3 linked regions of the Oryzias latipes genome follow. The protein of the gene in region 2 purifies or fractionates together with the protein of the main gene of each other region. This does not show direct contact. Links are inferred from orthologs where the notes say so. Each region holds a gene or a part of one and is shown on either strand. Other genes may lie near its edges.

The links.
Region 1: the proteins of dcp1b (region 2) and edc4 purify together in Homo sapiens (affinity purification with mass spectrometry; 3 studies listed by BioGRID and IntAct, with this or other methods). This does not show direct contact. The link is inferred for Oryzias latipes from reciprocal best matches to the Homo sapiens genes DCP1B and EDC4.
Region 3: the proteins of dcp1b (region 2) and bag4 purify together in Homo sapiens (affinity purification with mass spectrometry; 3 studies listed by BioGRID and IntAct, counting the BioPlex papers as one, with this or other methods). This does not show direct contact. The link is inferred for Oryzias latipes from reciprocal best matches to the Homo sapiens genes DCP1B and BAG4.

Annotation. Positions count from the first base shown.
Region 1 is NC_019864.2:24,347,170-24,351,480, reverse strand, and holds the start of edc4 (enhancer of mRNA-decapping protein 4), read right to left. Parts: upstream 2,811-4,311; 5' UTR 2,668-2,810; coding exon 2,580-2,667; intron 1-2,579. UniProt on the Homo sapiens protein: In the process of mRNA degradation, seems to play a role in mRNA decapping. Component of a complex containing DCP2 and DCP1A which functions in decapping of ARE-containing mRNAs. Promotes complex formation between DCP1A and DCP2.
Region 2 is NC_019881.2:14,488,782-14,492,845, reverse strand, and holds the start of dcp1b (mRNA-decapping enzyme 1B), read left to right. Parts: upstream 1-1,261; 5' UTR 1,262-1,540; coding exon 1,541-1,699; intron 1,700-2,058; coding exon 2,059-2,099; intron 2,100-2,280; coding exon 2,281-2,408; intron 2,409-4,064. UniProt on the Homo sapiens protein: May play a role in the degradation of mRNAs, both in normal mRNA turnover and in nonsense-mediated mRNA decay. May remove the 7-methyl guanine cap structure from mRNA molecules, yielding a 5'-phosphorylated mRNA fragment and 7m-GDP.
Region 3 is NC_019867.2:18,633,715-18,637,724, reverse strand, and holds the start of bag4 (BAG family molecular chaperone regulator 4), read left to right. Parts: upstream 1-1,198; 5' UTR 1,199-1,370; coding exon 1,371-1,460; intron 1,461-1,998; coding exon 1,999-2,118; intron 2,119-2,318; coding exon 2,319-2,534; intron 2,535-3,030; coding exon 3,031-3,300; intron 3,301-3,392; coding exon 3,393-3,854; 3' UTR 3,855-4,010. Other genes in the region: U6 snRNA-associated Sm-like protein LSm1, read right to left, coding at 180-295, 426-494, 605-650. UniProt on the Homo sapiens protein: Inhibits the chaperone activity of HSP70/HSC70 by promoting substrate release. Prevents constitutive TNFRSF1A signaling. Negative regulator of PRKN translocation to damaged mitochondria.

The sequences.
Region 1 (4,311 bases), on a different chromosome or scaffold from region 2:
ATGTATAAAGGGGCATGATGCACCTGGAGGTTGATTATCAGTTTATTATGACCCATAATTCATGAAAAATAAACAAATCAGAACATCAATGACATCGACTCATGCAGTATTTATGACAGCTGAAAGCAGAACTCGGTTCTCATCTCTGCCAGTGAAGTGTCTGCATTTAACACAAACAAAGAGGATTGTTATCTTACAAATCTGTTGTTTGTTGATCTTACAAGTGTAAAATAAGATCAAGCCATCATAACTATGGAATAAAGTTTGAGAATTGCAGACATTGTCAGAAAGATTATTATTGGAGAGAAATCAGAATAGCTTTTTTAACAAGAAAAACAAACAAAATCACACTATTTCAAATTAGATGAATAGATTTTTTGAAATGCAATACTGTTTTAGCATAATGAGTCCCTATTTTTATTTATTCCTCGCAGCCAGTTTCCTCAGTTTCTGCCGTGTCCTTTTGCTCAAAAGGTTCTTCTAGCATAAAAAACCCTCATCAAACTCAACAGTAGCTTGAAAAACTAGATACAGATTTCTTGCTCTGAATACATTTTTTCTGATGAAATCTGTTGATTTTTACTTTCCTAAAAATATAAAGGACAGCTGCCAAAAAAATGAACTGGCTTTATATTTATTTATTTTTAAATAATGAAACTAAAATAACGCAGGTTAAAACATGCAGTACTTTTTCCCCTCTTGCTGAATTTATTTAAGATCTTGATTTTTTTTGTTTTCATATTTGGTGGCATCTTTAGTTTAAATGTGTAGGATAAAATTGTTTTGAACGGATAAAATAACTACTAAAAGTGTTTAAAACAGAAAATCTGTATTTAATGTATTGTGGAGGCCATCTTTCCTCAACAGAAGGCGCTTTTCATTTGAGAGACAGCAAATAGAACTGCATTTGGACTCTTACTACACCGCTTTTATAACAGCCAGCAGTTTAATTATATTTATACCCATTTATCACTTTGAGCAGATGAGTGTTTTAACCTGTAAAGCCTTTTAAATCTTAAAGATTAAATTATTTATTTCAGTTTAATAATATAACTTAATTTGACACAAATATTGTTCATCTGTTTATTATGAAAAGGATAGACTGCTATGGTAATTGGGTTACTTCAAAACATTTTTAGTTAACTGAAAAGAACAAACAGTATGATACTGACTTTAAACTGACCATCAATTACATTACATGGAGGAATCATTTCAGGGGTTACGTGGACGCTTTCCATTTTCTAATATTTTCATCTCATGAAAATCATTTTATTTATACTGTATTAATAAACGTGTACAAAGCAGTACAAAAAAAATGAAAAAAAGATAACCCAAAAGTAAGTTTAAAATAAATGCAAACCCATTTGATTCTTCTATTCAGTTTGATTTAAAGCAAACCTTAAACGAACAAAAACCAATAATTTACTCTAAAAGGAAATTCAGTCCAGAATGAGTCGATATAAGTCATTTGATTTAATTAACTATAATAACGTATTTTGACCAAATGAAGCTTATTCTTTTACACTTGCAATTTTCTTGTAGCTGGACCACAAAAGACAAACAACACAGCAAATCCATTTTCTTAGTCCAGTGATAATCAAGTCAATTTTTTAAAAAGTATTTACGTGTCCAAATCAAACCAGATCATCCCAAAATAAAAGTTTGATTTATTTTGAGATCATTTGATATGTTTAAACAAAAAAATACACATTATTCCCCGTGCAAGCAGGCACGTGTCAGAAATATTTGGTATTTGATATTAAGAAAAAAACTTCAAGACAATTGAAAAACTTAAAAATGACCAAGAACTGTAAAAAAAAAAAAAAAAAAAAAAAATAACAAACATAGAAATATGTTCAAAATTCTCTCAGCATTAACAACTTAATGCTTCGATCTGCAATCATCAAGGCCACGAAAATACACATTTCTAAAAACCATCCATATACACGTTTAGCCCTAGAATCGCACTTGAAAATTTTCCTCCTTAAAAACAAAGCATTTGTTGTGTGCTTCCCGAAAACATACCAGACATACAAGCGTGATACAATTATATGGGACTGTTAATTTTCTGGGTGATTGGTGTACTTTGGGGTAACATAAAAAATGCTGTGACAAATATTTCGCACGATAATTATATTTGAAGTCCTGGCTGCTTACCTGTAGTGTTTACTGCTTATTTTTAGACTTCGTATATCATGTAAAATGGGAAAACCTTCCAAATATGGTGACTCGATTTAAGAACTAATATAGAGCTTGAAGTTAGTTCCTGTATCACTTTATCTGCTTTTCTATAGTTTTTCCATAGATGGAATGAGCCTTAAGCTAACCGAGCTATGTCGGTGAGGTCGAAGCAGTCGCAGCGCCACAAACAAACTACTCAAACACGACAAGTGTGAGTGGAAACTCTTCGACGTTTAAACTGTCTTCTATAGTTTGCCTTTTTCCTACAAATGTGTATAAAATCTATCAGGGGACGTTTTCACGCCGAAACGGGTGTTACTAATGTAGCAAGCTAGCAGCCTGCTAGCTTAGCGGCCTAACTGGCAGCGCAGCGACTTTTCGTTCCCGGTGCGACTTACCGGCGCCGTTTCCCGAACGGTCGAGCTTGAGGATATCCCGGAGGTGCTGGGTCGCACCCTCGATGTCTATATTAGAGCTGGACGACATGGGCGAGGGAAAGGGGAAGACTGGGTAAATTGAAGGGGAGAATTTTAAATTTTCGTCTACAGCGAAGCTGTCCCTTCACCCACAGCAACCGTCTAAACTTCCGTTTGGTCCTCTCCGTAGATGTTCCGACTGGTTACAGGGTCAAGTCAATGCTTCCTGGTTCCTACTTTCAAATTTACAGGCTTCTTCGTGCTTTCCACAACTAAGCAAACTAAAGGAAAACGGACTTTAACTCTCATATAAGATCATTGCCCCCCCCCCTCCCAAAAAAAAGAACAGATTATTTTATCCACATCATAAATGTATTTCTACAAACCACATTATACTGTGCAGTTGAGATAAAACAGACCACTCAAGCTGGCACTGTCTGCCTGATTTGCTCCTTTAGGAAGTGCATAAATATTATATCAAATGTGGCAGATTTTTATTTTGGTGCTGTCTTACAATGACCACAATTGAACACGATGACCTACAATTAAAAGCTCAAACATGATCACAAATAAAACAATAGCAATTAAGACATTAATGCATACTAATGAATGAAATGTGAAAATAAGCATTTATATTCACTCCTTAATGTGATTTTTTAATTTTATTTTTTAAGAAAAAGTTGAGATTATGATTAATATATTCATATTTTTTAATAATAATTAGTTATTAATTAGTGGGCTGCACAGTGGAGCAGTGGTTAGCGCTCTTGCCTCCCAGCAAGAAGGCCCCTGGTTCAAGTCTCAGCTGGGGATACTGAAACAGAACATCAATGGGGGGGGGTCTTTCTGTGGAGTTTGCATGTTCTCTCCAGCTTCCTCCCACTGTCCAAAAACATGCTTCATAGGTTAATTGGTTAGTCTAAATTGCCCCTAGGTGTGAATGTGAGAGTGCATTGGTGCATGGGTGTGTGATTGTGGCCCTGCCACAGACTGGCAAACTGTCCAGGGTGTCGCTTTTGCCCACAAATGGCTGGGACAGGCTCCAGCAGCCCTGTGACCCTGGAAAACAGATTAGAAGATGAATGAATGAACAGTTATTAATACAATGTTTAATAAGAAAAAAATATTTGTATAAAAGGAAAATGAACCTTAAGCTCTGAAACCTGAGAAATTTGGGGGGGAAAAGTACCAGTCGAGAGGGGGGTGATGTGTTCAATGTTGCATTGCTGACAGAGAAAGAAAGTAAATAAATTCCTCTTCAATTTTCTTTTCTTTTTTTGAGTCTTGTGCCCTAAAGGAAAATATATTGGTCTGTTTGTTTGTAATAATACATATTAACACATGCAACAACACTTCTACAACCCATCTTCACTTTTTAATGAATTGGAATAAAAATGATTTTATTAACATTTACAACCACTTTACTACAAAAGATAAGAAACTTTGTATTTTTCTTTTTGAAAATTACAAAGTGAAAGCCCTTTTCACTTTTTTTCACGAATCAAAATAGTTTTACCACTTCAAATCATTTAAAGATACAATCGCATAATCTTTGAAATTGGAACAAAATGTCAATTTTTTCCACAATACTGTATCTTTTAAATTTTTTCTTTTTGCTATATTAAACAAAATACATTAATTTGGTGTTACAGTGCTAATTGTTTGGTTGAAGAATCTAAGAAAAAAGTGACTGAAATTAGGAATCGTTAAATCT
Region 2 (4,064 bases):
ACCCAGGTGCAGAAAGGGGGAGGCAGGAGGTTCCAGGAACAAGGTCTTTAATAACTAAAAAAAACAATACTACTGCAGCAAGCAGGCAAACTCGAAAACACCTGAAAACACTTGAATAGGGAAGAGCATAATATGGACCAGCCCAGGAGGAAGGGAAAGACAGGACTTAAATACATACAGACAAACGAGACACAGGTGACAACAATGAGGGCGGATGGGAACCAAAAGTAGAACTCGAGTACAACACAAAACAGGAAACCCCACAAAACAAAACAGGAAGTGAACTCAAAACATGACAGAACAAAAAAGAGGACCAAAACTCAAAAGCAAAGAAACTAAAACTGTAACATGATGTTAAGGTCAAAATGAGCACTCCATGCAAGGTTTACTCTACTTATTTACTGTAAATGTTTAACTGTTACATACACTTCACATCTATAGATAACTGGGTATTATTATTATGTGCATTAAAAAAAAAAAAAAAACTATAAATGAAAAAAATACCTGATACATTTTCATTGCTTAAATGCTATCTGTATTTAAAATACCTGCAAGAGTTTATTAGTTTAAAGCAATATTTTAATGCAATTGAAAGCTTGTGTGATCTGTTATGCAAATAACAATTCAACACAATATATCATTTGTAAATGTGTTTACTTCAGAATAGCATTTGGACACCATAACCATACAAGGCCAGAAAAGTCATCAAGAAAATGTGGAATCTTTTATCGCCCTCTTTTGGATGTATTAGGAATTGCAGAAGTTGACACAATTATTTTGAATCACCGACAATTTTAATATGTTTATGAGAATCGCCATCAATCAGCATTACAGTCTCACCGGTGGTGATAAACAGATGGAAATCAAGTATTCACCACTTTAAAGGGGAAGCTTCTTTCTAAGAGCAAAAAAAGGTAAAAAATAAATAAAATAAAATAAAATAAAGAAAAGATGCTTACCTACCAGGCTAGTTAGAAACTCACCAATTTGTATTCCTTTCTCTGGGTGGATTTTATGCGACGGTTTTTTCCCCCCCACAGTGCATAAACATAAAACAATGTTATTTTTGTCAGGAGGGACAGTTTTTGCCTATCGTATGTTAGTCTGTTTTGAAAACGCTGAAACAGTCTTTTAAAATGGTGACATTTTTTTAAAAGGTATTACAAGACAAAATTTTATTTTAAAAGTCCCCATTTTAACCGAGCGGCAAAAACTTCTCCCGTTTATATAATTTCATCGATCGACTTTTCGAACTCGATTGTTAAGGCTGAATCTTTAACGCTGTGCTGCTACTCATGCCTACGTTGTTTACAACCTCCAAACATGGCCGTTGTTTAACTTAACTTACTTATGACGGAGAGCAATCAGTAGCCAAGGAAACGCTTACATTGAAATGTATTAACATTATAAACGAATCGCTCTGCATATTTCTACTCGTGCACGGATTTTTTTTCCCCCGCTTCTCGTTGGTTCAGTTTAATCGATTTTAGCCAGGCTATTTCTTTAGCTAGTTGTTTAGCTTGCTAACTTGTCCAGAACCATGACAGCGACCTCTGAAGGTAGCAGTGGCTGTAATGCTGCGAAAGGACTGGACATAAGTCTCGCTGCTCTGCAGCGACAAGACCCATATATAAATAATATTGTCGATGTGGCCAGCCAAGTCGCTCTGTATACATATAACAACAGAACAAATGAGTGGGTACGTTTTTTCCTGACAAATGCTATTCTGTGCTAACTTAGCTTAGCTTCAAATTACAGCGTTTTCGTTCTAGTATTACTGAGTTAAGTTAAAAGTGATTGCTTTGAAGTTGATTTTTGAAAACAAAAACAAAATTGAAGTTATAGATCATTTTTTAACTACTAGTATAGAGTTTTACCACATCACGAGACTACACACTAATTTACTCAAGCACACTGGTACAATTTCCATCCTCATACTTTGTACTGCTTTATTTAGCTTTGTTTACAAAGTAGCAACCTAGGATGTTTAATAAAAAACAGAATTAAAATACACATTTGTCCCCCACTTTTTTTGACGTGATTGTTGTTACTTTTCAGGAGAAGACGGAAGTTGAAGGCACTCTTTTTATTTACACAAGGTAAAGAAAAGACCTAAAGTCTGTGATTAGGGTTTATTTGAGGTCATCCATTGCATTCAATTATTTTATTTTTATTTTAATATCAATTAGGGAGATAATGTACCACTGTGTGTAATACCTTGTTTTTTCCTGAGTTTTGATAGTTATTATTTTTGTCATTTTGCATGCTGTTTTAATTCAGATTGGCATCTCCAAGACACGGATTTACCATTATGAACCGTCTCAGCATGGACAATCTGACAGAGCCGATCACAAAAGACTTGGACTTTCAGCTTCAGGACCCTTTCCTGCTTTATCGCAACGCACGATGTAAGTCAGAATATATAAAAATAGCCCACAGATTTCCAGTTTCTGTCCTATTCTTTCAGCGTTTGCTGTGCATGACAGTCTTAAATACAATGCAAGCTGCTGCATTACATATTTTAGTTATTGCTGTGACCCTCTTCCTCTGGAGTTTATTGCATAAACAGATGCATATTATTAAAATCCTAATATATGAATAATAATAGCAATTAATTAATGGTTGTTTACATGTGTTTCAGTATATTTATTTTCTTAGCATAGGTCAGTTCGGGCCCACATAACCAAAGATCATAGTTAGATTTTTATGGGTTTTTTTTATGGACCTAAAATGTTTTACTAAGCCATAATTACTATGTTTATTTCTTTTGAATAGCACACAAAAGTGCAGGGTATTAGAAATGCTAAAAGAATGACATATCTTCAAAAAAAATGTTGTTGCGTCAAACGCAGCCGTATTTTTATGACTAAAACATTATTTTGACATCAAATAAGATAGGAAGGACCACGTTAGTGACTGGTGGATGAATCGGTGACTCCATTTAAGGTGTTTCAGCAGAGTTATTTCAGTTTGTTTTATCACCAACTCTCTGAGACCTGCATCGGGCGCTCTCACACACAATCACATTCTAAAGTGTGCCTGTGGGACAAGAGTCTGACAGCACCACAAAAGCAGCCAGCTGAGATTAGATACACTTCCACAGTCACTGATAATCTAAACACACGCTAGCTTAGAAGTAGCTGACGAGCACAGAGAAGGCTCCTGTCGTCTTGGCCTCCCCGTCATATACAATGACATGCAGCCGGATCTTTGTACTGAAAGAAATTGTTTGGTTTATTCATTTTTGTTATTTTACATTTACTTGGAACATGGTGAAACAGAAAGCACAATATTTAGACTTTCTATTCAGAAGCTAACAAACACAAAATAGCCGGTTTGCGGTAGGAGCATCTGCAACAAGGAACAGATTTGAACCGACTCGCTTGTGGGAAGCACGAAGCGTAAAAACACTTGAAACCAGTAATCAGGTTACAGCTGATTAGTGTGTCTGCTGTTACAATGAACAGATTAGATTGGTTTATGTAAGTAAATGAATGGTGGGTTCAAAGCAAACGTTATGGTCAAGCATAATGTTAGTTTGCTCTGATTGCTCTGGTTTAAGATGAATAATAAAAGAGCTCAAAAGTAGACATGAGTAATGGTTGTTATCAGACTGATTTTTATCAGTGTGTCTCCTAGGATTTAGAGGAACTGTTTGGCTTCAAAGAGACTCTTTGCGTTTGTAGATGTGACACTGTAGAACCAAATTTACAGAGCGGCCATAAGCTAATGTACATAAGAGGATAAAAAGAAAGATCAAGTGAGACCCATCAAAAGTAATACCCCCTACCCTATAATAGCTGCTCAAACTAATGTTTACCAAATTTCTACATAGATGACATAACGAAAGAACACTTTTAGTAGACAGAAAACGTGGTTTTATTGGAGAAAATGTGATTTATAGCTTGCTGGCATTAGTGTGCCAGTGCATTGTGACCTCTTGGTGGAGGGGTCGTGGAATCTTATCATTAGATAAACATGTCGGCCTAAGTGCTGCCGCAACTTCCTGGAACGGTGGTTGGCACAAAGTGGCAGCCCGGGCTAAAAATGAACTGCGTGGATAG
Region 3 (4,010 bases), on a different chromosome or scaffold from region 2:
ATCTTTAAATAAGAGTCACATCATTTTCTGCAGTGCGAGACCTGGATGCTTGACCACATTCAGAGTTTGATGTTTGGTGCTGTACGGAGCATCTGAGAACAAGTTCACGTAAATAAAACTTGATCCAGAAATTACATTCAAGTTTAGAACAAACTAAAAAATTGCTCTAAAACACTTACTATTTCCCCAAGCAGGACTACATTTTCTCCCCTGACGATGAAGATACCTCTGGGAATATCTCCAAATTTCTTTCCCACGTGGATACGCTCCACCGTCTGATGAAAGACTAAATTGGCTGTGGAACAAAAAAAAAAAAAAAAGAAAGAAACAAACAAATTTAGGACTATTGAAACACCGCGTAATCATATAAAAATAAAAAAATAAACCCGCATGGAAGAGTTTAGAAGATTCTCATTTTTTATTACCAAACTGATCGATGCTTCTCAGGTAACCGATTAGTGTTCTGCCATCTCGCAGCAGGACCAAGTGCTTTTCTGCGAAATTAAAAACATTTAAAAAAAATCTGCGTCCACACGGCACACGCTAATACATTGTGTCGTTTGTTTATGATTAAAAAAAGCAATTTCTATAAGGCCCAACTTACTGTCAATATCGTCAATGAGACTGGCCGTCCCTGGTACGTAATTCATGTTTAGTTGCAGTTTTCACGCGTTTAGTTGATTTCTGAACCATCAAGCCATGAATGTTTTTACCCGTTTCTATTTGACGGTGCACAGGAAGTGCTTTTATACACTTCCTGTAAACATTTAACCCCTTCCGCACCGTAATTGCGCATAGCTCGAATTTTCTAAAAATAACTGTGTAAAAATGATTTAAACAAAAGTATCATACATTTTATGATACAAAAAGAATTTTCTATAAAACATGTTTGGATTAAATGTCCCCATTTGATGATGGATGGTAACCCTTCCAACGCATGTGCCACATCAAAGATCGTAAATGAAAATTTTGAAAAGTTGCGTCACATGTTTAAAAAATACAACTGCTACAGGAGTAATTCAATAGTTGGTCTTAGCAGTAAAATATATTGAAAATAAATATCTTTAATTAAAAATATTCTAATTGTGTTCCCCGTTTCTGCGTTTTGCAATTGTAAGGTTTCATCCAGCAATTTCGATCAGAAAGTTTTAGAGAGTGACTCCTCTTTACTTGTAATGGTTCTACTCGACTTAAAGACGCAGTACCATGTCTCCAGAGTTCCGCGTCATTTATTCATTTCTTGGTTGCAATCAGGCGATCCTGACTTCTGCGGGGAAGCTGCTGCTTTGATCAGCTGTCAGATTTCTAGCGGAACCGTAAACTAGTGATAGTCTTGCTTATTTTGGAAGATGGCAAAATACGTGTAACTGATGCAGAAACCCCAAATGCAGCCAAACGGGAAAACTGGCTGGCCCTCTACTAACTCGGGAAATAGTCACGGAAGCTGCAGTAACACTATGGTAAGCGAGCAGATTAATTAAAAAAAACTTTACTGGGGGGAGGGGGTGACAGATCATATTGTGCTTTAAAGAAACAAAGATTAATTTAAAATCTCCCAACAATAAAATCCGTTTGTTCGTTCGTGCAGAAGTTCTTCGCAATGTTCATCATGCTAGCTTCATAGCTAATATAGCTAGCGGGCATTATGTAATAGTTACTGCTAGCTTATTAGTTAAGTCCTTGTTTTTAAATTACATTGACTCGAAAATATCGATTTAACACAACACTTCTGCACGTTAGGAGATCGTAGCGATCATATAGAGTTTCATGAGTTAATCATTGGTTTAGCTCAAATTATTTCATTCATTTAAACACAAGTTAACATCCATTTATTTAGTTTTCTAGAAAGACACGAGTATATGTTTATCAATGCGTTTATCATTTAAGTTTCTCAGCATCAAGTTCTCCATATCTCTATTTGAGATTTAGGATAGCTACACAAAATGGGTTGGATCACATAAAGTGAGTCGCTGTCTCGTGTCAACTTGCCTTTTACAGGATGCTCCTCAGTATCCAAGTTACCCTCCACAATACTGGTATCCGCAGTCCCACTCCACAGGGCCCTACGCAAATGCCTATCCTTCAGCGTCAGATCTGCATCCGCAGTACAATCCACAGGTACATCTCACTATACGAGCCATTCCTTTCCTTCAACATTTTAATATATTGCTCACTGTTTTGATTCTCATCAATTTCCTCATCTTTCTTTTGCACAAACACTCATAGTTGTGGTATCAAAAGTGCTGTTTTCACAGAGTGGTCAATTTCCTCTCAGGCTTGTCCCTGTTTTTCTTTTTTTACTTATTTTTTATTTTTAGGTAATGCCAGGAGGATATCCGAACGGCCATGGAGCGTACAACCATGCACAGAGTCCGTACCCGGCAAGTAGCTTCCACCCATCCAACCCCTTCTACTGTGCTGATCCAAGGAGAGCAAGTCCAAGTTCCTATCCGCACCAAGGCTGTCCGGCAGATCAAAGCAGCGAGCCGCCTCACGCTCAGCATCATCATTACACTGGTCCACACTGTCAAGGGGTGAGTTTATTTACGCATTAATGAGACACTCACATTACTTACAAAATACTTAAATAGAAGCAAAAGGTTCTTGGTTTAATATTTCAGTCTTTTTACTTATTATTATTTATATGAGTTTGCTAAAACAATCTTATGGAAGCTTGACGTATTTAAGGAATCAAACAAATCATTTTATGCATTTGACCAATCGGATGGACGCCTTCACATTGTTGACCAATCGGATGGTGCCCTTTTATGCTAGACGAGGGTTTACTTTAAAAAAAAAAATTTAAACCGTTGCAGTGAAATGGAAATGATGTTTTTGGTTGTTTTGGTGTGTTCACGTATCACCGCAAGTTATATCGTCATCGCAATATTGATCATCAATATCGCATATCACAAGTTTTCCTTATATCGAGCAGCCCAAATGTGTTTAGAAAGCACCAAAATGAGACATCCATTTCTTGTAATGTTACATTTTTGAGAATAAACATGTTTGTCTTGTTTGTGCTCTCAGGGTCCTGGATATCCTCCTGGATCATACCCACACTACAGTGAAGGTGGACATGCAATTCACTCGAATTCTCCTTACCCAACCGGCCAGGCTCTTCATCCTAATTCCCAGGCTGAAGCATGGGGACACCCCAGCCAGTATGCCCACTCACAGCAACAGTGGCAGGGAGGTCAGCAACCTCCCCAAAATCATTACGGGAATCCCGTCCGTCCACCTCATCCTCCAGCGTGGCCAGGAACCGGGACTGGTGCCCCACCACCCTATCAGCCCAAAGTAAGGCTCTGCAGCTGACGTGCATTGTGTAACAATTATTCAAGAGTCCGTAAGGAGATAAAAGCAAATATGTCTATCTTGTGTTGTTTCAGGATCAGCATCACCAACGCCCTCTGCAGGTGGGGCCTAAACCCAGGCCAACACCACCCCCTAATGGAAAGCCTGCTGAAATAACTTCTCCTCCACAAATCTACAACAAAACAGGGAGAGGTGATACTAACACCTCACAGGCTGAGCCCCCCCCATCAGCCCCAACCCAAGCTCCTGCACCGCCCGCAGGTCAGACCAGACAGCTGCCCTTGAGTGATAATCCAGGCCTTGCCAAGGTTCAGCATGTGATGACCAGAGTTCAGCTACTTCAGGAAGATGTTGACGAGTTTGTAGGCAAAAAGACAGACAAGAGCTACCGCTGTCTTGAGGAACTTCTGACCAAAGAGCTGTTAGAGCTGGACTCCGTGGAGACTCAGGGACAGGACAATGTTCGACAAGCACGGAAAGAAGCCGTGCAGAGAATTCAGGCCATACTTGACCAACTAGAGAAGAAAGCCTTCTGAAGCGGGCTCAATTAACTTGCTTGTGGACCACCAAGTTTTCTTATGTTCTCTAAGATCTTCCTTGACAAAAGTCCTGCTCTGCAGAACTATAACAATGTTCTTTTTTCTACCTTAAAAACATTATATGAAGAAATTACAGACCGAAGGAAGAGTTAG